4 linked regions of the Tribolium castaneum genome follow. The protein of the gene in region 3 binds, or shares a complex with, the protein of the main gene of each other region. Links are inferred from orthologs where the notes say so. Each region holds a gene or a part of one and is shown on either strand. Other genes may lie near its edges.

Region 1 (6,142 bases), on a different chromosome or scaffold from region 3:
AAATAATAAGGCACACATTCACATTCTTGTGCGATGGTGTAATTATCCGACATTCTAGGTGCTAATGTGGTCATTTGGTTGTTGTCTTCTTCCTCTTTATTTCCCCATAAATCATCAATTTCCTCATCTAGGTTTTGACAGGAAATTACATAAAATACGCTAAATAAAACGGTTAATAATTTTGATTTCATTCCGCAATAGAAATTTAGTTCAACACGACTAGATGCTCACAGTTAGAAAAGCTAAAATGCGACTGGTTTCTTAATGAAAATGGTATGGCTTGATGTCATTGTGTGCCGTAATGATGATTTGAGTGGTTTGTAAAAATTTAAAAACACTTTTATGGTCGTAACTTTCCCAAACAAAATATTTGTGTTCGTTGTTTTTTTTTCAACGCCGGTGTCAGAAAATTATTTTCTGAAAAATTTCGAACTGAGAAGTAAAATGTATTACGCGAAAAAATTTAATTTATTATATTATTTCTAATTTATTATACAAAATGCCTCATCCTCCATCATTTCACTTAAGTTTACATTTCCTCCTTATACAGTCTGTTAGGAAATGGTTTAGCAAAAAGTGAAGGTAGATAGAGAATGACAAAACGAATCTATTAAGTAACATTTTAATATATCGACAATGCATAGTTTTTCAAAAAAATCGTTTTAATCTTAAGGTTCCAAAGTTTGAGAACCGCTGAACAAGAATGATAAAAATTAGCGTGCACTTTAAAATTATTGATAAAACGGCAGAGGTAAATTAACTTCTTGCTCCATTTCGTAATTCTTTTATTTCAATTTGTGTTTTGTTAATAAATTTTACAAAATAAATACAAAAAGAATTTCATGCCAGAACTGGGGTTCCAACCTCCCACGCAAATCAACATGCTAGCCACAATCTTGAAAAATTCTTATTAATTATTATTATGTTTAAGGAAAAAATTAACTACCCTAAACCACACAGTGGCTCTCAACAGTCTCGACAGTTGGCCAACTTTTTTTTTCAAAAAACAAAAGTTGGTCAAACTGTAAACAAATTACAGTTATCAAAAACTAAAGTGTTACTTTTTTAAAAAACGCATTGTTCACTGTTTTCTTCATTGTTTTTTCAGTTTGTATGTGGCAGAGAAATGTTTACAGATAAAGGTAGAAATACTAAATACTGTATTAAAGTTATGGATAAAAAATAACGAATTTTAAATAAATGATATGCAACATTGTCTAACAATCGCGATCGCAATAAAATTAGATCAACAGTAAAAATGTGTTATTTTTAAACAGTTTTCTAAAAAATAGTACCCAGTGCTGGATACTGATGATCTTGATTTTCTGATAATTTTAAATTTTTCTAAATTCAAATATTAATAATAAATTAAAAAAATAATCATTCCTCATTGTGTTGGAGAACTATTATTTAGTGTGAACCAGAATAATAATAAAAAGTAAAGAAATAATCAAAATAAGTTTATAAATGTTATTTTAAGAATCGGTTTAAGATTTCTTTTCCGTAATCTACACATATTTTTCAACAACTTATCACAATGTTGGTGTTCCAGTGTTTGAGGACTCTGTAAAAACTAAAGTTAAAATGTTAAAAGTTCAAAAACAAATAATAGAATTTTTATTTTACAATTTGTATGCTATAAGCTTAATTCTGTAGGTTTATTATAAATTCAAAATTGTTAGACCTTTAAATTTTATAATCAAAGAATATTGGAGTTTGAACAATTTTTTTAGTTAAAATTTCGACAAAATCAGTAAACTATATACACTGTTGTAATGTTGGTTGCATAAACTTTAAATATAAACATATGAAAAAACATTCTTAATAAAAAAATAAAATGCTTCTCGGCCCTTATCTAATTCTTTACATTTATAGCGTAATTTTCAATATTAGTGAATTGGTGCTAAAAAACTGTAAATATTTTGGTTCAAGTTTGTGGAAAACTCCACCAGATGCCGCACACGCCGGCAATGGCCGGCAACCGTCAATGAGCAAATTATTAGTGAAACATCATTTGTTCGAAAATCGTGTCATGGACTAGAAATAACTCAAAAAAATCAACGTAAGTCTTAAAACCACTTAATTTTCGGTCTCGCCTTAATCACTTCTCACACAATCACCCGTTAAATCCCCCTTTTCCTTCCTCGAACCAAAAGCATGCTGTTTTGCACCATGTGATTGTTCTTGTAGTTTTTTCTCCGAATTTTTCGAAAACGATGGCTGGACCAGACGTTGCGGCTCTTGCTGCGGATTTAGCAAGAGCCGTTGAACTCACAATGAGCACCGGAGCTTCGCAAACCGACCGACTCAAAGCATACAACGCGTGCGAAAGCTTTAAAGAGACTTCACCTCTGTGTGCCGAAGCTGGGCTCTATTTGGCCGCAGGGACGCAACATTCCTTGATTTCGAGGCATTTCGGCTTGCAGTTGATGGAGCATACGGTCAAGTATCGCTGGACGCAAATTTCCCAACAGGAGAAGATCTTCATCAAGGTGCGATTGCTTCATATTGCATCAGATGGAGTTTAATGATTGTTGTTTCAGGAAAATGCAATGAAGTTGCTTGCTGCTGGAGGGATTAGTGACGAACCACACATGAAGGATGCTTTAAGTCGAGTTATTGTGGAAATGGTGAAGAGAGAATGGCCACAACAATGGCCAGGTTTGCTCTCAGAGCTGTCGGAAGCTTGTTCTTGTGGGGAGATTCAAACTGAATTGGTTTTGTTGGTGTTTCTACGATTAGTTGAGGATGTTGCTTTACTGCAGGTGAGTTGGGGTTTTGCGGCTAGGATTTTAGAAACTAAGTTGACAACATTGGAAAAACCGAGCCCACATGATTTTGGAGTCATAGTTTGTTTATAAATTTGTTTTATTTTATTTATACATTTTTCTACCAATTTTACCTATTAATTGTCGATTTTTTTTATAATCAACTATTTAAGAGCCGCCGGGTTGGCATTATCATAAATAGTAATTTTTTTGAATTAAGGTTGGTGTAATATTTTACCTGGCAAATTCAATTTCCAAATTTTTCAAGTTGTCTCTACTTTAAAACACGTACAACACATTTAGTTATTTTTTAGACCATCTTTAGACTAACGAATTAATGATTAACACTAACGTCCAATTTTCAAAAATGTCAAATCTGGTGTTCAAAATGTCAAATACGGAATACAGCCAATTTTAAAAGTGGTTGGACATGCACTGTTAGGGTGATATAGTCTGGTCTTTATCTGATATTTGACACTGACAGTATTTATATAAAAAAAATTAATTATAAATTGTTTGCGTGTTTGTATTGTTATATTTTTTTAAAATGCACAAGCGACCGTAGCGAGTGAAATGTTCGTTTCATTTTATAATAGATCTACTTTTGCATATTTAAATATTTAGTTATGGTCTGACCTTCGCAAAATTGTATTTTTTTGTGCATATTTTGTGCTGCTTCGTTTCTTTGTCGTTATTTACTTGATTTTCTTAATTAAAGATTAAATTATTGACCGTTAAATTGTATTATTAATTTGTCATAATTTCCAAATAAATCTAATAATTCAGTGTTGTCAACTGAATTTCCTAGTCACAGGTCACTTTAATCACAGTTTTGAAGGCCACACAGTTATCGATTCGGGCGACATCTACACCATCAAAGTGACAATATGTTGGCAAACTTAAAAATTAGTTACTTTTGAAAGCCATTTTTTAATTGTATTTACCTTGCTGTTTATTTTAAAAATCTTCGAAAGATTGTTTTGACAACAATAATTGTTACATTACTACGGTTGGAATTTTGATAAAAAAATGTAGTTTCGCAATTTTCATTCCTATTACCATGCTCACTAACATAATAATTATGCATTAACTGGTTGCTAAATTTTCTATGCAGTTTGAGCAAAAGTTTTTTGTTTGTGTTAATGTCGTGATAATTTTTTGTTTTATTTTTTCAATTGTAAGTTTTATTTGTTGTTATTCATATGCATAGAGGAAATACAAAAAAAAATGATAAAATAATTAATATTACATAATTATTATTAAAATATTAAAGTCGAACTTACGAGCGTAAACTACAAGACCTTAGCATAATTTACAAAAGTGTGTTTGAGAAAACGAAAAACTTTATTTTGCGGAACCTGAAAAGTTCAATGTGAAAAAGTTTGTTCGCGCGCAATAGGTTCCAGGTTTAATCCTTTCCATACAGAAAGGTTTTTGAAGAGCGGCAGCGCTATAAAAGTTTTATTTATGGTTTTTTACAAAAAAAAGATGGTTTTTAATTTATAACCTGATGCTTTTAATTTTTATTTCTAAATGTCACATTATTTTATGCTATATTTATATAAATTATTTTAAATATTACTTTTTTTGTTACAAACATGTGCATATTATTACTTTTACTAAAAATTATTGCAGAAAAATATTAAATTTGAAAAAAAAACATTAAATCTAGTTGTATCGTATCAAATAAGACAGCAACTATTATTGTTGTTCTAAAAAGCAACAAATAAAAACAATATTGCCAATATTTTATGAAATATACTTACAATTTGTAAAAGGATTTTCCTGCAACAAGATTATTTTTAACGTCAACATTTTTTATTAACACCATATTACAAAGAGTTTTTATTAACTTTTGTTATTTTTTTTAATTTAATATTTTTTTATATCGCAATTTTTGGTAAAAGTAAACATATTAGCATATTACACATGTTTGAATCAGAAGACTAATATCTTTCAAATTATGAAAAGCAAAATTTGGTTGTCAGTTTACAATAAGAAAGCTGAATATGGCTCGAAATAAGTTATGACATTTAGAAAAATGTTAAAAACAACAAGCTTGTACTATATTAATTATTTTTTGCACGAGTTGATAATAAATGGGAATAAATGAAGTCTCTAGGGGATTCCATATTAATTTGTGACTCTTATCTCGAACGAGAACCCCGGTCCCGGGAATTACTTTTGGGAGCCGCTTGAGGGGGAACAAAGACAATACGTGATGGATAACAAAACTATATTAATATAACAAAAGTGCAAAAAAGAGATTAATTCATACAAACAACACGGAATACTACAAATTGGTCAATAAGGGCTAAACATCCAATTCTCTAGGAATTTTTTACACCGATTTATCTAATTTGACAGGGTTAAGCATACTATCAAAAACAGTAATGTCGGTTGCTTTAAAAAAATAAAAAAGACATAATTTTACAAAAACCTGGATTTTTTTGAAAAATAACTGACAACAAAAATATTAATTTTATGCATTACCACGCATTACTTTAAACTTACTCTATGTTCTAGATATTATTATTAATATTATTACCAAATAATTTTGTACTTAAATTTTACCATCTTTCTTATTTTACTTAAAAATGGAAAATGTACTCTGAACTATTTAATGGAAAAATTTTAACTAAGGTTTAACGATTACATTAAACATTTTAGTCATTTTTTAACCAACTAAAAAATTAATGATGAGGTATTGTTCGTCTTTAATTTGTTTTTAATTCTTTTACAGACGCTGGAATCAAATCAGCGAAGAAAAGACATCTATCATGCCCTCACCGCCAATATGGCGGTCATCTTTGATTTTTTTCTTCGTCTAATCGAATTACACGTGAACCAATTTCGTATATGTGGTGAAACAAATAACACACCGAAATCTACCGCTCATGGTAGAGTCGTTCAAGTTGTTTTACTGACTTTGACTGGTTTTGTTGAATGGGTCTCTATGTCACACATTATGGCTCAAAATGGAAGACTCCTACACATTCTGTGTCTGTTATTGAACGACTTGGCGTTTCAGTATCCGGCGGCTGAATGTTTATCACAGGTTAGTACTATTTTTATAAAAAAAACCAAAAAATTTGCGTAAAATCTTCCGTCAAATAATGGTTATTATGACATCATCACATTTGATGACGTTGCGTGCTTTAAGATGTCCCTTAAAGCATCAAAATGGGGCAAATTACAAAAATATAAGACGAAGCCAATTATTTTCAAATTATGTTTGGGTTCCGGAATTTTTTTGAGCTTTTTTTTGTAATTTATTTACTTTTGGCCAATTTTTCTTACTTTCTTGTGGTTAATGACTTTTTTTTAATATTTTAATACCTAAAGTTTTATTGAATTCGCTGTGACACTCAGTT
Region 2 (5,362 bases), on a different chromosome or scaffold from region 3:
TCAAGTCGTGCCCGCTTTGTAGCTACAGGGCGGGCTCGATGAAGAGTCTGCGGGTGCATTTTTTCAATAGACATGGGATTGATTTGGATAATCCAGGCCCGGCTGGGTCTCAGGCGTCTCTGTTTGCGGCGGCCGCCCAACAGGGCTTTTCCATGGACAGTGCTTTGACTTCGTTGGGTAATTTGGCGGGGAGCGTGTCTGTGAGCGTAACAGGGGCGAATTATAGCGACTCTGGGGATTCCACTGGCGCTCGTTCGACGGATAACGCAACCCCACCTATGCATTTTCTAACACCACACGTGGAGATTTCAATGGCCGATGCTCCGGCGCCCGTCTTTTCCCCGAATCTTGTAAGTCCAGTTTCAAAGCGATTTAGTCCTGTTTCTTAGACAGTTTGTTTAGAACGACCAGCGTTCGAATTTGCCGGGCCAAAGCGGCGAAGTGTCCCAAAGGATAAACGGCGAGTGTCCCGGCTCCCCTCAATCAGCCGACTCCAATTCGAATGCTCCGTCCAGCAGCCATATTCAACCAAATTCCCTTAGAATAGACCAAGAAACGAACATAACGCCCTCAATTTCCCTCATCCCCATAAAACAGGAACCTGGAGACGAGCTGTACGACGTTTCCAAACGAAACGGCCCTAACCCAAGCACCTCTCCCTCGGGAAGCGTACAAATGCAAACAGCGACCTCAAGTAGCCTTAGCTCGTTAATCAAAGTGTCTCCGTTGAAGAGCTTACTTCGTGACGATTTAAAGAGGAAGATCGTCTCGCGGATGAACTCCTCGCCAAGGGGGCGCTCCACCGCGAGTCCCAACCAGAATCCTGAGACTTCGCCCAGTGACACGGCGACCACCACCAATGGGGCTATCACCTCGACGGGGCCCGAACAACCGTCGGACTCCTCCCTGTGGCGGGCGATGGGCAAAAGGTCTTTGTCTAGTTTACAATGTATTTTCTGCGGGATCGGATTTCCAGACCAGACTTTGTACTTTTTGCATAAAGGGTGTCACTCCGACGCGAATCCTTGGAAATGCAATATCTGCGGAGAGCAGTGCTGCAATGTTTACGAGTTTAATTCGCATTTGTTGAGTAAAAGTCATCAGTAGGCTCGATTTACTTAAACTATGACATACTTTGTAAAGTTTAGATTAGTTCAAGTTTCATACAGTTTTACACGGAAAAATTGAGTATGTGATAATTTGTTGTAGAAATTGTTGATGCATTTCTTGTTTTTGAACAAGTTCAGGGTTTTATGGGTACATTTACGAGCATTCCGTTTAGTTTCATTCCCTTTTGGAAATTGTCCAAGTGCCTGCCGGTTGCCTATAAGCAAAATTACCTGAAGATTTGCTCTAAACTCATATCCGTCCATTAGTAAGAAGAGAGGTATATTTACAAGCATGATATTTTCCAAAATATATTGTAAAGCAAGTGCTTAGTCTCTATAGTTGGAGCTTCATTACATTGTTACATAAATTAGAATTAAGTTTTACATTTTATATATACATTCCATTTTAGTGTATTGTTGATTCCATGAGACAGAAACAAAATAGTTTGTACAGTATTTATTGTTATATTTTATGGTAATTTTATTTCGTGCAATATATTTTGCAGTGCCTTAAACAAAATTGCACTCGGACGTTTAAGTTCATTTAAATTTTTTTACGAAGTAAGGATTTTATTTTCGTAGGCAATTATCGTAGTGTAGATAGTAGGGCGACATGTTACATTCCTTCAGTTCATTCAAAAATATAGATATATTTTTTTTTTATTTATACACAAAATGTAAATTACAAATTCTTGTAATTCTGGTGAAAGGGTTAAATAAACTTTATGGAATTTTCGTCTCGCTTCGTTTCAATTACACCAGTCTAAAAACAAACACCGGAAAGAAGTCAAAAAATGAGATTCGTATCCGCTACGACTGGCAAAAAATTCCACCGGAAAAATACCGCCAAATTTTAAGTTCGTAGTCACGTGATTAAATTCCCGCCAATCAGCGTTTGCCTGATACGAGCCGGCACGCATAGTGGTTGTCAATTTTTGTAAATTATTTTACCCAAAAAAGTGCTTAAAACGAATTTTTCCGTCTCACGACATGCAAATCATTAAATAAGCCAATTCTGTGATAGTCTATGTTTTGTGAAATTGTTTGGAAGTGTGTCGGTATCTTAACCTCGCAAATTCGTTTCTCCATTTATGGCTAAAAGAACGGCAACAAGTGATTTAAATCACGATAATTGGGATAGGGAGGACGAACCAGAGACGGCTGGAACGTTTACAAAAGCTTCAGATGAAGCTTTGAAGAACAGAGTTATAAAAGTTGCCCGCAGGAGGAACCCCATATCATCAGTCCAAGTCAGTACGGTTTCTAATGTGTGTTGTTTGATTACGAACAATTTTAATTTTTAGAGTGACGATAGCAAACCCAGCGCATTCGGTGGTTTTTCTGGGTTTGGTAAAACGCCAAGTAGTGCATCCAACACGTTTGGATTTTTGTCAAACTTAAATAAAACCGAGACTAGTAAAACCAACGGAACTACGGAAAAAGAAGCAGAGACTTCCGACAAGAAATTAGACGAATATTATGCCAAATTAAAAGGATTAAATGAAAGTGTCACTGAATGGATAAAAAAACACGTGTCATCAAACCCGTTTATCAACTTACAACCAATTTTCAAAGATTACGATAAATATATCAACGAACTTGAAAAGGCGAAAGGCGAGGCAGCGTCAGAAACATCAACTAGTGCCACAACTGCGCCCCAATTTTCCTTTGGTACAACCTCTACAACCACAACTCCTAAATTTTCATTTGGGGCCACTTCTACCGCATCCACAGGATTTTCATTTGGCTCCAGTACCACAACAGTTAGTTTCACTTCAAGCACTAGCACAGCTACCCTATCAGGAGGCGACAGCTCCTTTAAATCGCAACCGTTTTCGTTTGGTAATTCAGGCTCTGACAGCGGCAAATTTTCATTCACAAGCACTGTCATAAAACTAGCAGATGAGCCAAAGCCCCAAGAGCAAGAAGACGAAGACGAGCCGCCCAAAGTTGAGTTTACGCCAGTGGTAGAAGAGGGACACATTTATTCAATCAGATGCAAGGTTTTTGTGAAGAAGGATGGCACTTTTGGAGACCATGGCGTGGGCACTCTGTACCTCAAGCCAGTCCCAAACGGCGAGAAAGTCCAACTCATCGTGCGCGCTGATACGAATTTAGGAAAATTAATTTGTAATTTCATTTTGTCGGAAAGTATCCCAATGCAAAGGATGGGGAAAAAGGATGTTATGTTAGTTTGTATTCCAAATCCAGACACGCAACCTCCACCCGTGCCGATTTTATTGCGGGTGAAAAGTCCGGAAGATGCCGATGAGTTGTTGAAAACTTTGCAGAAACACAAAAAATAGGCTAGGGGTGATTAGCTCAATAAAATATTTTTCTAAGTAGACGTTTTTTTTTTCAAACCAATTTTGATAAAAATTTGAACAGTTCTAAAATTACATATGGTGCCTCATATATACATTTTTATTAATTACACAAGTAAAATATACACATTCTGTGAAATACCCACAAAAATACAGTAATTATAAATAAAACCCGCGGTAAACAGTAAGATAAAACGAGACGTGTAAATCGAAATTGTGGCCATTATAGTATTGCACAGCATTCTGCTTTAAAAACCTGCATTTTTAAAGAAAAAAAGTATCATAGTTTGGAAATTCCATTTATGGCGAGTTTTTTATCTAAATTTTGCCCGAGACCGACTTGAATGTGTTTCATGTGAATTTCGACGGAGTTCTGGAACACTAGTTGATTACTTGGCGTCAACTTCCTCTTGATTTGTTCCATCGTGCCTTGGAGCACTTGCAATTCGTATGCGTTTTGATCCGAATCGGCCAAACTTTTTACTTGCAACATCAAAGCCGTGAGATCGGTGATGAGTTCCAGAATCGATTTATTCTTAACTGGATCCTTGTCGGCCGAAATGATCGAATTCTGTCTTTGTACAATTTCAGCGGCCTCTTCTCGGCACTTTTCCCTCAAATGGCTTGGCGCCAGCATCGCCGCCACGCTCGGCTCAGGGGCGATTTCCTGGCAGAGCGCCTGAACATCATCCAGATACAGCTGCAAATCGTGATTTAACTTCTCAAGATCGATCAAAATGCAGGCGTAATTCCGCTGAAACTCTTCAGGAATCTCCGAATGAAACGAATTAAATTTCTCCGCCTTGGCGTTCATGCCCTTCAGTTCGCTGATTTTCGTCCTCTTGACGCTGAGGATTTTCGTGATTAAGACCATTTTTTCCAAAAGTTTGGTCGGGTATCCCCCTATCCGGCCCTCCTCCTGCGGGAAAATGGGCTTATTGATCATCGAACCCGACAGTAAGGGATCTTTCTTGAATTTTAGGTTTGTGTAAGGGGAGATTTTCGCCGCGTATGTTGTGATCCCGTTCCAGGGTCTGAACTTGTTCTGGAAGCTGGACAACGAGAGGGTTTCGGGTGGTTCGTTTGATAAAACTTCATAATCAGGCACAGAATGTGTGCCTAATCCCTGGCGCTCGAATGTTATTCTGTAGGTGTTGTTTGAGGTGTCCACAGCGTCAATGCTTCCGGTGAATAATCCGTCTTGTGGCTTTCTAAGCCTGGCTGTTACTTTTGTACCGATAACCAATTGCATGGGGATTTCAGGTGGCAAGTCTTTAAAACTCGAAAGTTCGGTGGCTTTCCTCTGTTGTAACGCTCTGATTTTTTTCCGTTTTTTCTCCAATTCTAATCTCTCCTCGTGAAAGAAAGCTTGAGAGCAACGTCGGGGTTTCCCCATCATTCTTCGAATTTTGGTCCATTGTACTCTCGTCAGCTCTCGTGTTTTTAACTCAGGAAACGACTCCTTTAGACAGATACTAAAATCATTTTCCCCCGAAAACAAACACCGGTCGATATCGCTGTAAAACCACTCGTAGCAGACCCATTTGTGTGCCTTGGGCAACTTGAGCACATTTCTCAATCTGAGTCCGATTTTCTGCCCGATTTTCCGATCGGGCGATTGAAGGGGCGGTGGTGAAATATTCCGAGGCGACTTGACGTCCCTCGGTGTGTTTCTCTTGGGCGTTTCTTTGAAACTTTTCGTGGGAGTGTTAACTTTGGGTTTTTTCACAGGCGTTTGCTTCATTTTTTTCGCAGAAGGTACCCTGTGATGTGGCGTGTTGACGATATCGTCGTCGTAAAACAGTTTATTTTTCTTCCTGATCCTTGCAGGCATACCACGGGCGTTTAGGACTTGCGTTGGTTGAGTGGGTGGCGGTTTAGGTGCAGCTGGAGCACCCACTCTCTGCAGGCCCAGAGCCGCGGGCCCCA
Region 3 (6,284 bases):
ATCGCATTCTTTCAACACCTGTTGACTAAATTTTCAAATTAATTAAATCAACTGTGATTAACATATCACTGATTAAAGCATCCAAGAAAGAACTCTTACAGAGAAGTGATGTTATTACTTAATTCGTTATAGGCAATGTGACCCTTTTAAACCACAAATACTGAAAAAAGTTGAGATGTACTGGCACTTTAACTAACTTATAGAAAATCTGTTTCTCCAAATTATACTTAAAAGGATTCACAAAGAAATTTCACAGAAAAACTGGGTCTTTAGTTCAAAAGGCAAGAATAAAGCCATTTCCAAAATACTTCTCTAATTTTTCCAGCTATTATTAAGAAAAATAAATCCAAATAAAAAGTGCTTTTCTGCCTAAAAAATGCACTAGCCGTTCGAAATCTTAATTTCGAAAAAGTGTTTACTAGACGTTGAAAAGAGGGAAAAATAATACTATTTTTGACATAATTTTTTGATTTTTCATAGAAAAATTCTCGAAATAATTGCGTTGAGATCTCAAAAACGTGCAAAACATTGAAAAAAAAACAATAAACGTGATTTTTCAGCTCGAAAACATGCCCAAATGCTCGAAAAAAGCAAGAATTAATAAAACTCTAATTCCTTTATCGAGAAGGTTAAAAAAATGTTTGAGTAAATTACACTTATATAAAACAAAAAAATAACAACATTTTTGACAAATTTTTCCGATATTTCGAGTTATTGTTAAGAATCTTAACGAAATAATTGCGTTGCTGTCTCAAAAAAATGCAAAACGCTCGAAAAAAAGCTGAGGAAGTTGTGACATTTCAACATGATTTAGTAAAAGTCTCTCGAAAATAAATTCCTAGCAAACGTTTAAAAAATTATATTTGACTTAAGTGCAGCCATAATTTAATGTAGAATATTATCTATTACCTATAGCTCTCTCATCGAGAATATTTTTGAGTAAATTACACTCATAATCTTACATAAATACCAGCGAAATCTTACAGAAAAATTATGGCTTTAACTTAAAACAGTGCTTCATTTTCCACAAAATTTTCTGATATTTCGAGTTATTATTGAGAATCTTATCGAAATATTTGCGGTGCGCTCTGAAAAACATGCAAAAACCCTCAAAAAAAGCTGAGAAAATTGATTTCTCACCTTGATTTAGAAGAATCTACTAAAAAATTTCTATAAATTTTAACTTAAAAATGTGCTCAAATGCCTAAAGAAGACAATTATTTATGAAAATCTGGTTCTGTCACCTTAAATACCATGAACTAAGCTTACAATTTTAATAACTTCTAATTTGGAAAACTTGCTGAAATTAATGAGGCAATTAAATTATTAGGTGAGCTCGTCTTAAAAAATTCCGAAATATCAAAAAGTTCTGATCGTTCTCACACCAAACGCATGTACCTATAAATAATGTTACTTTTAATTAAATTAAAGTCAAAATTGCAATAAAAATTTTATTATTTTTACATTAGCAAAATTAAAAAAACTGAGTTTTTAGTTCATAAAAAGCAAAAAGTAATCGTTTTCCATCTAATTTTCTAATTTTTCGGTTCGGTTTAGCAAAACCTTGTGGAAAAAGGGCTTCAGGGCTCGAAAAGAGCAACAGTTCATAAAATTTTAGTACCTTCTGTTGTTTTATGACTTTACCAATCAACAAGCCTCTTCTGCTTCGAGTCCTTTCGTTTCTCAAATTGTGATTACAAAAAAAAAATCGGTTTAAAGCGAGATTTGAAGATTAATATGTTTTCAAAAAAGATCTCTCGAAAGTATTTAGTCCCATCTTTGTGAGCACACATTTTCGTACAATTGAATAAGATTTTTTTCCATACTGTTGTCGCTCTCGTGGGGGTCTGTTTGGGGCAAACAAGGGCGCGTGTCCACCCCTGTCGCAATGAAACGAGTAGGCCGTCCATCTCCGCTAATACATTTACCGATATAAAATAACAAGAAGCCGTCACATTGTGACGCGACCATGTGTTAGAGGAGGTGACGTCCTCTCCGGCGGCGGGTCTCGTTCCGCCCCCCACAGCTGCATCGCGCCCCGTGCCACACAGTGCACCGGAAGCACCCTCGGAAGTTGCTTCGTTCAAACAAAAAAAAATCGCAATTTTTCCGAAAAGTTTTATAAAATCAGAGCCGTCTTATTGTTCACGTGGTGGTCGAGATGTTGGCCATCTTGGCGCTGGCGGCCTGATTATAGTGATAAAAGAGCGAGCCGGGTCTTGATTTGGCCCCCAAAGGCAGAAACTTTTATTTCTTTGACAATGTATATCATGAGGCAGCGACTCATTACTTTTATGGCGAATTAGGCTTGGCAGCGGCCCAAGGGCCCCCGTCCAATGAACATGTTTTGCAAAGAATGGGCTTTTTTGAAATGCTGGCTCGTAAAATGACAGAATAACGTTTGCAGTTTCCTGTCGGCGAGGCTAAGAGTAACGCAATACTTTATTATATCGACGACGACACAGAGGACCAAAAGCTACGACATTCCGGATGTGGCGAATGCTATTGTAGGTGAAGCTTTTGTGCACTTCACTTGCAACAATTGCGGTTTCCTGAATAACCTGTGAGCTTTCCGATCGCTTTGATGTCTTCATACGGTAATTGTGCGATTCGATGCTCATTCTATGCTCCGGGACCCAAATGGAAATCAACTGCTCCGGAATACGTAATTCTATACTATTTCTAAGACGCATTTACTCGCAAACAAACAAATTTTCGCAATTTTCTACTTGGCGCAAACACACAAGGTGGGCAATAGCAAAATCAACAATTCAGTGGAACGCGGTCATAACGAACACCCAAAGAACAATTTTCAAGTTAAAGGAGTTCCAAAGTTTGGAATAGATACAGGAAATAAAGTATAAATAGACTTATTAAAAAATATTACATATTATGATAATAAGGCAAATAAGTCCGATAAGTCCGAGTTTAGAGTTTGGTCGAAAATGACCAGAAATTTACCTTTCCTAGGCGTTTATTCAGCAATAACTCAATTATAAATAACAGAATTATGTCAAAAATGACGAGTTCTGAAAGTTTAAGCACGTTTTTAGAGCAAAAATCAAGGTTTTCTTCATGTTTTTCTTAAACTAAAGTGAAAAAATCACCAAATTTGGTCGGAAATCAGCAAAATTTTACCTTTTCTAAGCGTTTATTCAGCAAAAACTCAATAATTGCGCAAAATTTCTTAAAAAGTAAACCAATAAATCACAGAATTATGTAAAAAATGACATTATTTTTACAAGTTCTGAAAATTTAAACACATTTTTAGACCAAAAATCAAAATTTCCTTTCGTTTTTTATCAAAGTGGAACGAAAAAATCACCAGATTTGGTCGAAAATGACCAAGATTTTATCTTTCCTAAGCGTTTATTCAGCAAAAACTTCATTATTGTGCAAAATTTCTCAATAAATCAAAGACTTATGTCAAAAATGACATTATTTTTGCAAGTTCTGAGAATTTTAACATGTTTTTAGACCAAAAATCAAGGTTTTCTTCCTGTTTTTATTAAAGTGGAACGAAAAAATCACCAGATTTGGTCGAAAATGGCCAAGATTTTACCTTTCCTATGCGTTAATTCAGCAACAACTCAATCAAGTGTGTTATGAATGGGTTCGTTATAAACGGACGCCACTGTATTTTTGCCTAAATATTGGACGTTAAAAGTGATGTTTGTTTGTTCGTTAAAACCGAACCAGTTTGTTACTACAATAGGTATAGGACTTTAAAACGGGACTTATAATTTTGTTTGTTATATCCGAGCGTCTGTTAAAAGCCGGGTTCATTATAACTAATTTTTTTTGAGTTTCACTCACCAAAGCACACACAGCGAAGGACCAGAGACTCAGTAAACACGAAATTTTGGCACAAAACACACTTTTTCACCTCAAATTTGCATTTTTGTCCCACTTTTCACACAAACAAATAATTGCAAATGTCAAGTTGTCAAATTTGCATTTGGGGATTTTTTATTTAAAACAAAAAACGATCGAACGTCGATCAGGAACAAATTTAATTAATTCATTAATAAAAAATATATTTTGTCTTAAGAGTTCTTCGTAGGTCTTACCCAACTTTGTCCAAATATTTTTTTTTACAATTCCGTAGAGATTTAATGAGAAAATAATTAATTAGTTGAGGGGTTGAAAGTGTCCTTGGGAATTTTGCATTTAAACAATTGAGTAACACCTGCTTGGGGGGGAGCTACAGATATTTTATAATCAGGTTTTTTTTTAATTAGTAATCAATAATTAGTGAATGATTCGTTTGGGAAAATGTGCTAACAAATCAAAATTTTATTTTTTTGCCCACCTTTTAGCCGGGCGTCGAACCTAAAAAAAGATCGCTTATCTGTCAAAATATAGGTTACCGGTGATTGTGTAGTGTTGTGAGTTTTTCTGATTCTTTAACAAAAACACTTTTAGACCTTATCGAGGTGAGTAGTGCGAGTGTATGAATGGATCGGTGTAAAAAAAATTCCGATTAATGGCTTTGTCTTGCGGTAAAAAACGACAGAATGGCTTTGAGGTTATGCAACTTTCACGTGTTTTTTGGGCCGATCGGGTTCATGTCTCGCTGTTGTTTTGCTTATTTGGGGATTAGATGACAAAAAAGTTTGTTTTGCGTAATGTTTAGTCGCGTTTTTGCGGGAATTATGTTTTTGTGGGTTAAATCGTGTGTGGGTCCTTGTCGCCACCTGGCGGTGGTTTGCGTGATGACGGGTCGCGGCGTTTTCGAATTTGGTTGAAATTTGAGACGGTTCTTGTTTTAGTAAAAAATTGATTAAATCAGCGAAATTTCGAAATTATAACGGCGGATTTAAGGGCCTGGGGCGCTGTGTGGCAAATTACATTAATATGAAAGTAGGAATTGATGGTAAATTCGAAATTGTAGCCTATGGAACGGTGAGCTTATTATTATGTAGTGCTTTTTTAAAAATGCTGAACGCTCTGCAAAGTCCCTAAGTTACAATTTCGGTATCAGATTGAAAATTGCTATTTTGTGCAAATTAAGTTGCAGTCGGTGATGTGTGTTATTATTTGAACGCATAACCGACGATTTGCATATCGGAAAATGGACGAAAAAGGCGCAGAATGCCAACTCGTGACCTTATCTAAAAGGTGGTTTAATTCGGTCTTGTTGCTCGTGTTGCAGATCATGCCACCTAAAAAGGTACAAGAGCCGGAGAGAAAGCCGCTCATAGGGCGGGTGGGCACCAACTTGAGGGTCGGTATCGTCGGGATACCCAATGTCGGCAAGTCCACCTTCTTCAATGTGCTCACCAAGAGCTCGGCCGCCGCCGAAAACTTCCCCTTCTGCACCATCGACCCCAATGAAAATAAGTATCTTCACCAATTTTTCCCAATCCGAAAATTTTTTTGTTGGCAAAATTTTATTGCGATTTAAAAAGAATTGTTTAGTCTGAGAGCAAAGCGGCTCATTCTACGTATTATACCGGGTTTTTACGAGATTTAAAATTTTGAATTTTTTTGCTTAAAATTTTAATGGTCAACGCAAATACTTTCATAAAAAAAAAATTAAACTCACTCTAGCATAGTTTTATGGACTTTTATATATCTTAACAATCCACTAGAGTTGTTAAAAGTTCAAAAAAAGTTCATATGTTCGATTTTTTTATGTTTAATTTTTCCAATTTTTGTCGCGATTTTGGTTGATTTCGAGTACCCGGAACATTTATCGAGCAATAACTCCGGAACTATGAGAGATAACTCTATGAAGTGTACTATCGTTGGAAAGCTCTTTATATTATCCATCTTTTTTAAAAAAGATCATTGTACTCCGACTAATAGTTTTCGAGAAAATTGCAAATAAAAGCAAAAATTGGTCGAATTAAAAAAAAAATATAACTTAAAAACTATTGAGAATTTGGCAATTTTCTCAATGCCAATCGATTCTCCAGATCATTTTGCATTAGTATGGATTAAAACAGTTACACTTTTTCAAGTAGTTTAGTCGTAATTGAGAAAATAAAAAAAATAAAAAAAAATTAACACCCCTTCCCACAAAATGGCTAATTTTAAAAGTGTCTCAAAATCAAATAAAATCGATCCTATCTTATAGATTTTGATGTGCTCTTTTCGATCTAAAAAAGCGTTTTCTCCTAGCTCTTTTAGTTTGGCTGTAATCGGCGTTTGAAAATTGAAAATTTTTTTGCGAGTCCTATGCCATTTTGTAGAGTTTTTTATTCCGGTTATCCTCCATTTTTCCGTTTCTCGATATCTTTAATAGTTTCGCCGTAATTGGCGATTGAAAATTGAAAAAA
Region 4 (6,255 bases), about 2.3 Mb from region 3:
AATTTGACTAAGTGTACTCATGGGATCCAAGATTAAATAAAATAAAATAAATAAAAAAATAAAATAAAAATAATAAAACTTACTTCCATGACGTCACCACTGGTGCAATACTTCTCCCCTATAACCTTATACAAGGGCATTGTATTTTGCATAACTAAGACAGTCGGCTGTTCGATAATATGCGTTTGACTCTTCTTAACACACAGCGAGTTAAATAACGACGATAACACCTTAAGTCTCGTAATTAGCGAAGTTTTCACAGCGGGTGACTAAAAACAACATTAACACTTCAAATCAAATCACCTGCGATAACACACCGGTTCGACATTCAGCAAGTCTTGCATTTCCTTAAAAGATGGCGCTAGAATTATATTGAGATAGTCCATAATACGTGGCACCGGTAGAATACTCAAAACCTTTCCTATACTGTACATAAGTCGGCTACATTCGGCCAACTTCAAAGCGCCCCCTTGTAGCGCAGACTGAAAAGTGGTGACTTAAGTAACAATTCAAGTTGGCGGAATGACCTACTTGTGCTGCTAGCAGAATATGGTCGGCGTATGGTAATAAATACTTCTGGCAGCTATGTGTCAAGTCTTTCAAGGCCATGGTAGCGCTGGTTGCAACTTCGGGTTTGTCTAGCGCCGAAATCACCAATGGTAACACATTTTCCAACATTTCTGGATGTTCGGTGATCCAATCAGAGTACGAGCCTACGGTTTCTAGCGCCGAAGCCATGACTTTTTTGTGCAAGTCGGTAAAGGGGATTTCTTTAATCGTAACCATCAGCTTGGGCAAATATAAATTTTCGAGTTCGATAGATTCGGCAATTGCGCCGAAGGCGTGAAGGCAAGTCTCGACTTCGTTCCATTGAATAGGCGGGGGAACCACCGATGTATTATTCTTATGTAGAGCTTCGATCAATTTACTGTTCAAAATATCGAGCATTTCCAAATTTAAAACATTGTAGCAGTAGATGAACGTGTCGGCGATGTCTTGCCGGTAACAGCGGAACACTTCCTTATCGTCCAGCGACCAATCGCCGTCCTCATTCAATGGAAACATGGATTTGCGTAACATTATACAAACTAAGTCGCGATAGTAGGGTTTTATCATTAGTAACAATTGGGCGCATTCGGCCGTTTCTAGCGATAAAATATCGTCTTGTAACGTGTACCAAAAACCGAAAGTTAAGGTACTGCTTGATTCATCAACGGGGTACAAGCCGGGTAGATTTGTACATTTTAAAATCGAGTTGAAAAAATCGAAACTGATTCGTTGCTCGTCCACGTTTTCCGATTTTAAATTGTTGATGAAAATTTTCGAATGCACGTCGGCTATTGTTACCAATAAGCCATACAAGTTGGCTACAATGTCCTAAAATATGCGTGTCAGCATCACTTCAATCGAGGACTAAATCACAGCCTCCTTGAGGGAATTTGTGGCAATTTTTACCAGATTTTAATCGATTTTCTTTAATAGAGCAGAAGGTTAAAATATTTTTATTCTAACAGTTTTGTTTACCAATTTTTGTCTAATTCTGTGATTTTTTTGACTACTTTCCAACGTAATCTTGCGTCTCTCCTTAAGAAAAATAAACTAATCGCTCAAAGAAAGCAAAAATAACACAATTCCTGACTTAATTTTGTGAATTTTTGGATGGTTTTAATAAAATTTTGCGAAATAATTTCGTTTATGGCTTTAAGACCTAATAAAACACCCAAAAACAGCCAAAAAAAAATTTCGATTTAATTTGGTAATTAATTTCAGTCTTGTCTAAAGAGTTCGTACAAAAAACTGACAGTTTATTTTGAAAATAATTGAAAAAGGTAAGAATAAGGCAAATTTCGACAGATGGAAGAATTTAATTTAATTCTAGAAATAATAGCGCTTTTATCAAAATGTCACAAAAAATTAAGAATTTATTGCGTAAATACGTGTGTAAAAAAGTGTAAAAGTGAAAAGGTAAAAATAACACAATTTTCAAGAAAAAAAAATCCTAAAAAGAAGTTAAAAAAATTCTCGTAACAACAAAATAAATTCAATATTAAATAATTCAAGCAGTTTTGCGACATTTTTCATAAAAAAATACACAAATTTTGGCTTAATGTGTTGATTTTTCAATCACTTTTAGCAAAACCTCACCCAACACTTAAGATTTTAATTCAAAAACGTGCTTAAAAACACTAAAAAGATGGAAACAACACAATTTTCAACCAAATTTTTCTGGGTTTCTTGACTTATTTTCAACGAAAATGTGCGAAATAATGACATTTCTGGCTAAAAACGTAAGAAAGTAATTTTTCAATGAATTTATTTGTTGGGAAAACGTTTCTACCTACAAAAAAATGTACTCGATATAATCGCATTTTCGGCTTAAACTGGCGAGTTTCCGCCTTGTTTGTAACAAAATTTTACAAAATAATTTAATTTGGATGTTATCTTACAAGCTTTCGGTAAAAAAACCGAAATTTTAAGATAAAAACGGGTTTTAAAAGTTCAAAAAGCTAAAAATAATACAATTTTCCACAAACTTTGGAGTTTTTCAGCTTAGTTTTGACGAAATTTTACTGAAGTCAGCTGCTACTACTACAAAGTACCATCAATTTAGATATTTTTGGTGTTATTATTTACGTATTATTTGACTGACAAAATAAATGAGTCTAAAGTTCAAAAACGAATTAAATCAAGTATCAATTTCGATTCAATTTGGAAAAAAAATGTCCCCCAAAAATCTGCTTAATTTTCAAAAAAGGCAATTTTAATACCATTTCCTATCCATCAAGGAGGCTACGTTTTTATCCTCCCTAAACCAAACTCACTTTATTGCTCTCTGGACTATTCCTTTCACATTCAAGGATTTTTTCAAATTTGTACAACATATCAGCACTACATTTCATCACATGGTTGTGATACCGATTAGTGTGCGGGTGCTGGATTATGGTGGTTAGAGCCTCCACAGTCACTTCCATCAACTCCATTTCTTCTGGAGACATGCATTCAGGATCCGTCTTGTTCCTTTATTATTTTAACTGAGAAAATTTCCAAAATCGATTCCTGAACTTACCAATATGCGAAACACGTCAAATTTATTAAAAGATTCATAACTGACGTACAATCGTCAATATTTAAACCGCCTAACTGTATCCAAGCAGACGCACATCTTGCCGCATTTAAATACGTCGTCAAATTTAACATATCGAAGCTAAAAGATGTGTGAAAAATTGTAAGAAATTAATTTAAAAGTGCGTAAATACCCGGCACTTGGAAGTGGCATGAGACACATCTCGACCACTTTAAGGATGTCTTTCGAAACGTCTTGCAAGACAGTGCGTACCCTCATCCGTTGGCTTACTGCTAATAACGTGCTTTGAAACTAAAAAATTACCATGATCAAAGTCGCCTGTGACTTAAGTGTTGCCAACTCAATTTCCGAACCCTTACCTCTTCTGGTATCACAGTCAGGATTTCTAAAAGTATCCAAATGACTCTTTCGGGCTCAACGTTGGGCAAGTGCTGGGGCTGGAAACTCGAAACCAGCTCTTCAAACGCATTGGGCCAATGCGTCGGCACAGTGTGTATAATATAAGCCGACAACTGGAACAGACCATAAGTCGAAGCTTCCCCCTTTGTAACTTACAGTAATGCAGAGCCGGTTCAGGACAATTTTGGGGCCCATGGCATAGTTAATAATCGCCTCCAGAATGCGCTTCTTCAACAGCTCGTAATGATCCTCCGGCACCTCATTCCAGTGCTTCATCAGCTTCGTATGGAGCGTCGTGGCAGCAAAGAACTGCACTTCGGAATTCTGCAAATCAAAGCTCACTTTACGCACTGGCGCGAAACTAGGCTTACGCGATGGGGGCTCAACAACTCCCACACGAAGCTCCACGCTTGGGGCGAATTCTGGGCCTCGGTCAGCCACTGGTGGGCCTCCGCCTGTTGCCCCGCTTCGGTGCGGTAAAATAAGGTCACGGCTTTTTCCAAATTTTCCGCCGTGTATTCCATGCTTGATGCGAATTTAAACCAAATCTTCGAATTAATTACGAGTTTGTTTTTACTTTTGCTACATTTTACGGAGTGACAGTCGGCGTTACGTCGATAACTGTCAAAAATACGCGCTCGTCAGCAGTCTTACGACACGCGCTGGGGGCCAAGGGGGCTGACACCAACTGGGAAATGGGGCGTTTTTGTGCACTTTTTGCCACGATAAAAAACACAAATTGTCGATTTACGAATTGGACGAGGTTAAGGCGCCCCCACTGTCGCCAACCCAAAAATTACAATTTTGGAAAAAAATTAATAAAATTGTTTAAGCGCAACATTTTTTTTAGTGTTGTTTAAAACGGTGTTTATTGATTATTTTAAATCATCCAAAGGCTGGAAAAGGGCAAGGAAAAGGGTGTTTTTCGTGTGGTGTTGGTTGCATAGACAGCCGTCACTCTTTTGGCAGCTGGTTGATTAGAAAAATGGCGGATACCACAGAAAGTGAGTTTGTTTAATAAACATATAATTTCAATTTTTGTTATCAGTGTTGTGATAACGGTCAGAATTGGTTTAGATTTGCGCTAGTGCGAGGTACATGTTTTGATTTTGTCGCTTTTATAGATTTGGACAATAGTGGTAGCCTTAACCCCCCAATAACAATGAAAGTGGATGCACCAGCGGAAGAAGACAAAACAGGTAACCCAAACGTTTCGCTTTGCTCGTGTTTGCTTCACGTGCCCCGTTCCAGAAGCTGGTGACAACGAGAAAAACGCCAAGAACGAAGAATTCAAAACGTGCACTCCTGATAGAATTCCAGTAACAAGTGTTACAACAAACCCGTTCGCTACTTCACAAAACAAATTGGCAACGCGTGGCATTTTGAAGCCTCCTCAGTTGAGTCTAAACAACGCTAACAATTCCGCAAAACCGGCTGTTATTCTAAATCCGAGTCGACTGAACCCGTTTGCTAAACCAACAAATGATGGCGCCAAGGAAGAGAGCAAAACTGTTCAATTGAACGGGGAAACACCAAAATTCGTACCACTGGTGCAAACAGAACCAAAAACGAACTCAACTCAGCCGGTTGTAACAACGGCCAGCACAACCCTCTCGACAACTTCCTTCGTTTTTGGACAGAACCTACAGGACCGTGTTGTGGGCAGTGACGCGAAAGCGGACGAACCTAAACCTTCGACTAGTTTAAATTCCAATGGGACGTCGGAAATGCTCTTTAGCAGCGCTATTAAGAGTGAGGGCAAAACTGATGGAACCATTACCAGTAAAGAAACGAAGTCGTTGAGTGAGTCGGCGAGGGAGTACGAGGAGTCGAGGGCCAATAAGAGGAAGTACGAAGAGGTGGAAATTATCACGGGGGAAGAGAACGAAACGAATATTTTAAACATTAATTGTAAATTGTTCGCGTTTGATAAGGCGTCTGGGAGTTGGCAGGAGAGGGGCCGAGGGGTTTTAAGGCTGAACGACTTTGAGGGCGAAGGGCACGCGCAAAGTCGGCTGCTTTTCCGGACAACGGGGATTTGGAGGGTTATACTGAACACCAAAGTGAGTGGCCAGGTTATTTCCCCGGGCCTATGAATTTTTTCAAAATTTTTCCACATTTGTCTTTAATCAAAAAATAAAACTGGTTTCATTAAAATATATTAAAGCTGGTTAGTTAATTTCGGTAATTTTTTAGATTTGGGCGGAAATGACTGTAGAACAGGCTAGTGAGAAAAGCGTGCGGTTCACGGCGATGGACCCGCAAGGTGTGATCAAAGTTTTCCTCGTAATGGTGAATTAAAGTGATTTTTTAAATAATTTTTTATTGCTCGTTTGTTTCAGGCTAGTATTGAAGATAGTAAACAACTGTACTCACAGATCCAGCTTAGAGTGCAGAAAGAAATAGCAGCCCAAAAACATAAAAAACTTAATGTAGATAAAGACTCAGGGGGCAATTAAATTGTTTACTAAATAAAACATTTTCACGGTACCATTGTGCAGAGTTCATTTTGATAAAACTACAAATGTGATGTAAATTAAGTTTTAATCTTTAAACAGTAACGTTTTTACAGAAGTTTTGTCACGCTCATCGATTCTAGTTATTTAAAATCTAAAAGTATCATTTAATTGGATGTGTTATATTTTGTAATGATAAGCAATAAAACTTTGAAAAAAGTACAAGCCCTTTTGCTACCCACAAAAATGAAACTATTTAATTCAAACAATTATTAAGCTGACATGACTACAGTGAAACCCCTTACAACTGCATAC

Evidence for each region.
Region 1: Ran (region 3) and Ranbp21 share a complex: the UniProt entries of both Homo sapiens proteins name them as parts of the nuclear export receptor complex. The link is inferred for Tribolium castaneum from reciprocal best matches to the Homo sapiens genes RAN and XPO5.
Region 2: the proteins of Ran (region 3) and Nup50 are in contact, whole or in part, in a crystal structure (PDB 7MO0), measured with the Homo sapiens proteins. The link is inferred for Tribolium castaneum from reciprocal best matches to the Homo sapiens genes RAN and NUP50. Residues at the interface, in NP_006316.1 of Homo sapiens: Arg29, His30, Thr32, Gly33, Glu34, Phe35, Glu36, Phe52, Val124, Asp125, Ile126, Lys127, Ser153, Asn154, Tyr155, Phe157, Glu158, Phe176, Ala178, Pro180, Ala181, Leu182, Ala183, Pro184, Glu186, Val187, Asp190, Pro191, Ala194, Tyr197; in NP_009103.2 of Homo sapiens: Pro344, Pro345, Lys346, Val347, Val352, Lys362, Cys363, Lys364, Phe366, Tyr367, Lys368, Asn371, Glu372, Phe373, Lys374, Glu375, Lys376, Gly377, Ile378, Lys384, Lys390, Gln392, Leu394, Arg396, Thr399, Asn400, Leu401, Asn403, Ile404, Leu405.
Region 4: the proteins of Ran (region 3) and cdm are in contact, whole or in part, in a crystal structure (PDB 3ZJY), measured with the Homo sapiens proteins. The link is inferred for Tribolium castaneum from reciprocal best matches to the Homo sapiens genes RAN and IPO13. Residues at the interface, in NP_006316.1 of Homo sapiens: Lys37, Lys38, Tyr39, Leu43, Gly44, Val45, Val47, Pro49, Trp64, Gly74, Leu75, Arg76, Asp77, Gly78, Tyr79, Ile81, Gln82, Asn103, Arg106, Asp107, Arg110, Val111, Tyr147, Trp163, Arg166; in NP_055467.3 of Homo sapiens: Leu33, Tyr34, Tyr35, Ile39, Lys42, Gln46, Leu49, Met50, Gln53, Glu73, Tyr76, Phe77, Ser80, His83, Ile84, Ile118, Thr121, Arg122, Val125, Val172, Glu175, Glu176, Thr179, Ser414, Asp415, Arg784, Asp785, Pro787, Asp788, Pro829.

The regions. Positions count from the first base shown.
Region 1 is NC_087402.1:11,608,716-11,614,857, forward strand, and holds the start of Ranbp21 (exportin-5), read left to right. Parts: upstream 1-1,934; 5' UTR 1,935-2,062; intron 2,063-2,190; 5' UTR 2,191-2,216; coding exon 2,217-2,492; intron 2,493-2,543; coding exon 2,544-2,765; intron 2,766-5,511; coding exon 5,512-5,826; intron 5,827-6,142. Other genes in the region: phenoloxidase-activating factor 2, read right to left, coding at 1-191. UniProt on the Homo sapiens protein: Mediates the nuclear export of proteins bearing a double-stranded RNA binding domain (dsRBD) and double-stranded RNAs (cargos). XPO5 in the nucleus binds cooperatively to the RNA and to the GTPase Ran in its active GTP-bound form.
Region 2 is NC_087402.1:5,413,983-5,419,344, reverse strand, and holds Nup50 (nuclear pore complex protein Nup50), read left to right. Parts: upstream 1-1,986; 5' UTR 1,987-2,200; coding exon 2,201-2,359; intron 2,360-2,413; coding exon 2,414-3,415; 3' UTR 3,416-3,454; downstream 3,455-5,362. Other genes in the region: zinc finger protein ztf-16, read left to right, coding at 1-350, 403-1,107; mip130 (protein lin-9 homolog), read right to left, coding at 3,714-5,362. UniProt on the Homo sapiens protein: Component of the nuclear pore complex that has a direct role in nuclear protein import. Actively displaces NLSs from importin-alpha, and facilitates disassembly of the importin-alpha:beta-cargo complex and importin recycling.
Region 3 is NC_087395.1:25,443,877-25,450,160, reverse strand, and holds the start of Ran (GTP-binding nuclear protein Ran), read right to left. Parts: upstream 3,949-6,284; 5' UTR 3,817-3,948; intron 1-3,816. UniProt on the Homo sapiens protein: GTPase involved in nucleocytoplasmic transport, participating both to the import and the export from the nucleus of proteins and RNAs. Switches between a cytoplasmic GDP- and a nuclear GTP-bound state by nucleotide exchange and GTP hydrolysis.
Region 4 is NC_087395.1:23,155,755-23,162,009, forward strand, and holds the start of cdm (importin-13), read right to left. Parts: upstream 4,209-6,255; 5' UTR 4,009-4,208; coding exon 3,856-4,008; intron 3,809-3,855; coding exon 3,641-3,808; intron 3,598-3,640; coding exon 3,445-3,597; intron 3,377-3,444; coding exon 3,258-3,376; intron 3,206-3,257; coding exon 3,068-3,205; intron 3,019-3,067; coding exon 2,823-3,018; intron 1,378-2,822; coding exon 532-1,377; intron 483-531; coding exon 318-482; intron 270-317; coding exon 84-269; intron 1-83. Other genes in the region: RanBP3 (ran-binding protein 3), read left to right, coding at 4,470-4,488, 4,609-4,683, 4,736-5,547, 5,681-5,776, 5,827-5,943. UniProt on the Homo sapiens protein: Functions in nuclear protein import as nuclear transport receptor. Serves as receptor for nuclear localization signals (NLS) in cargo substrates.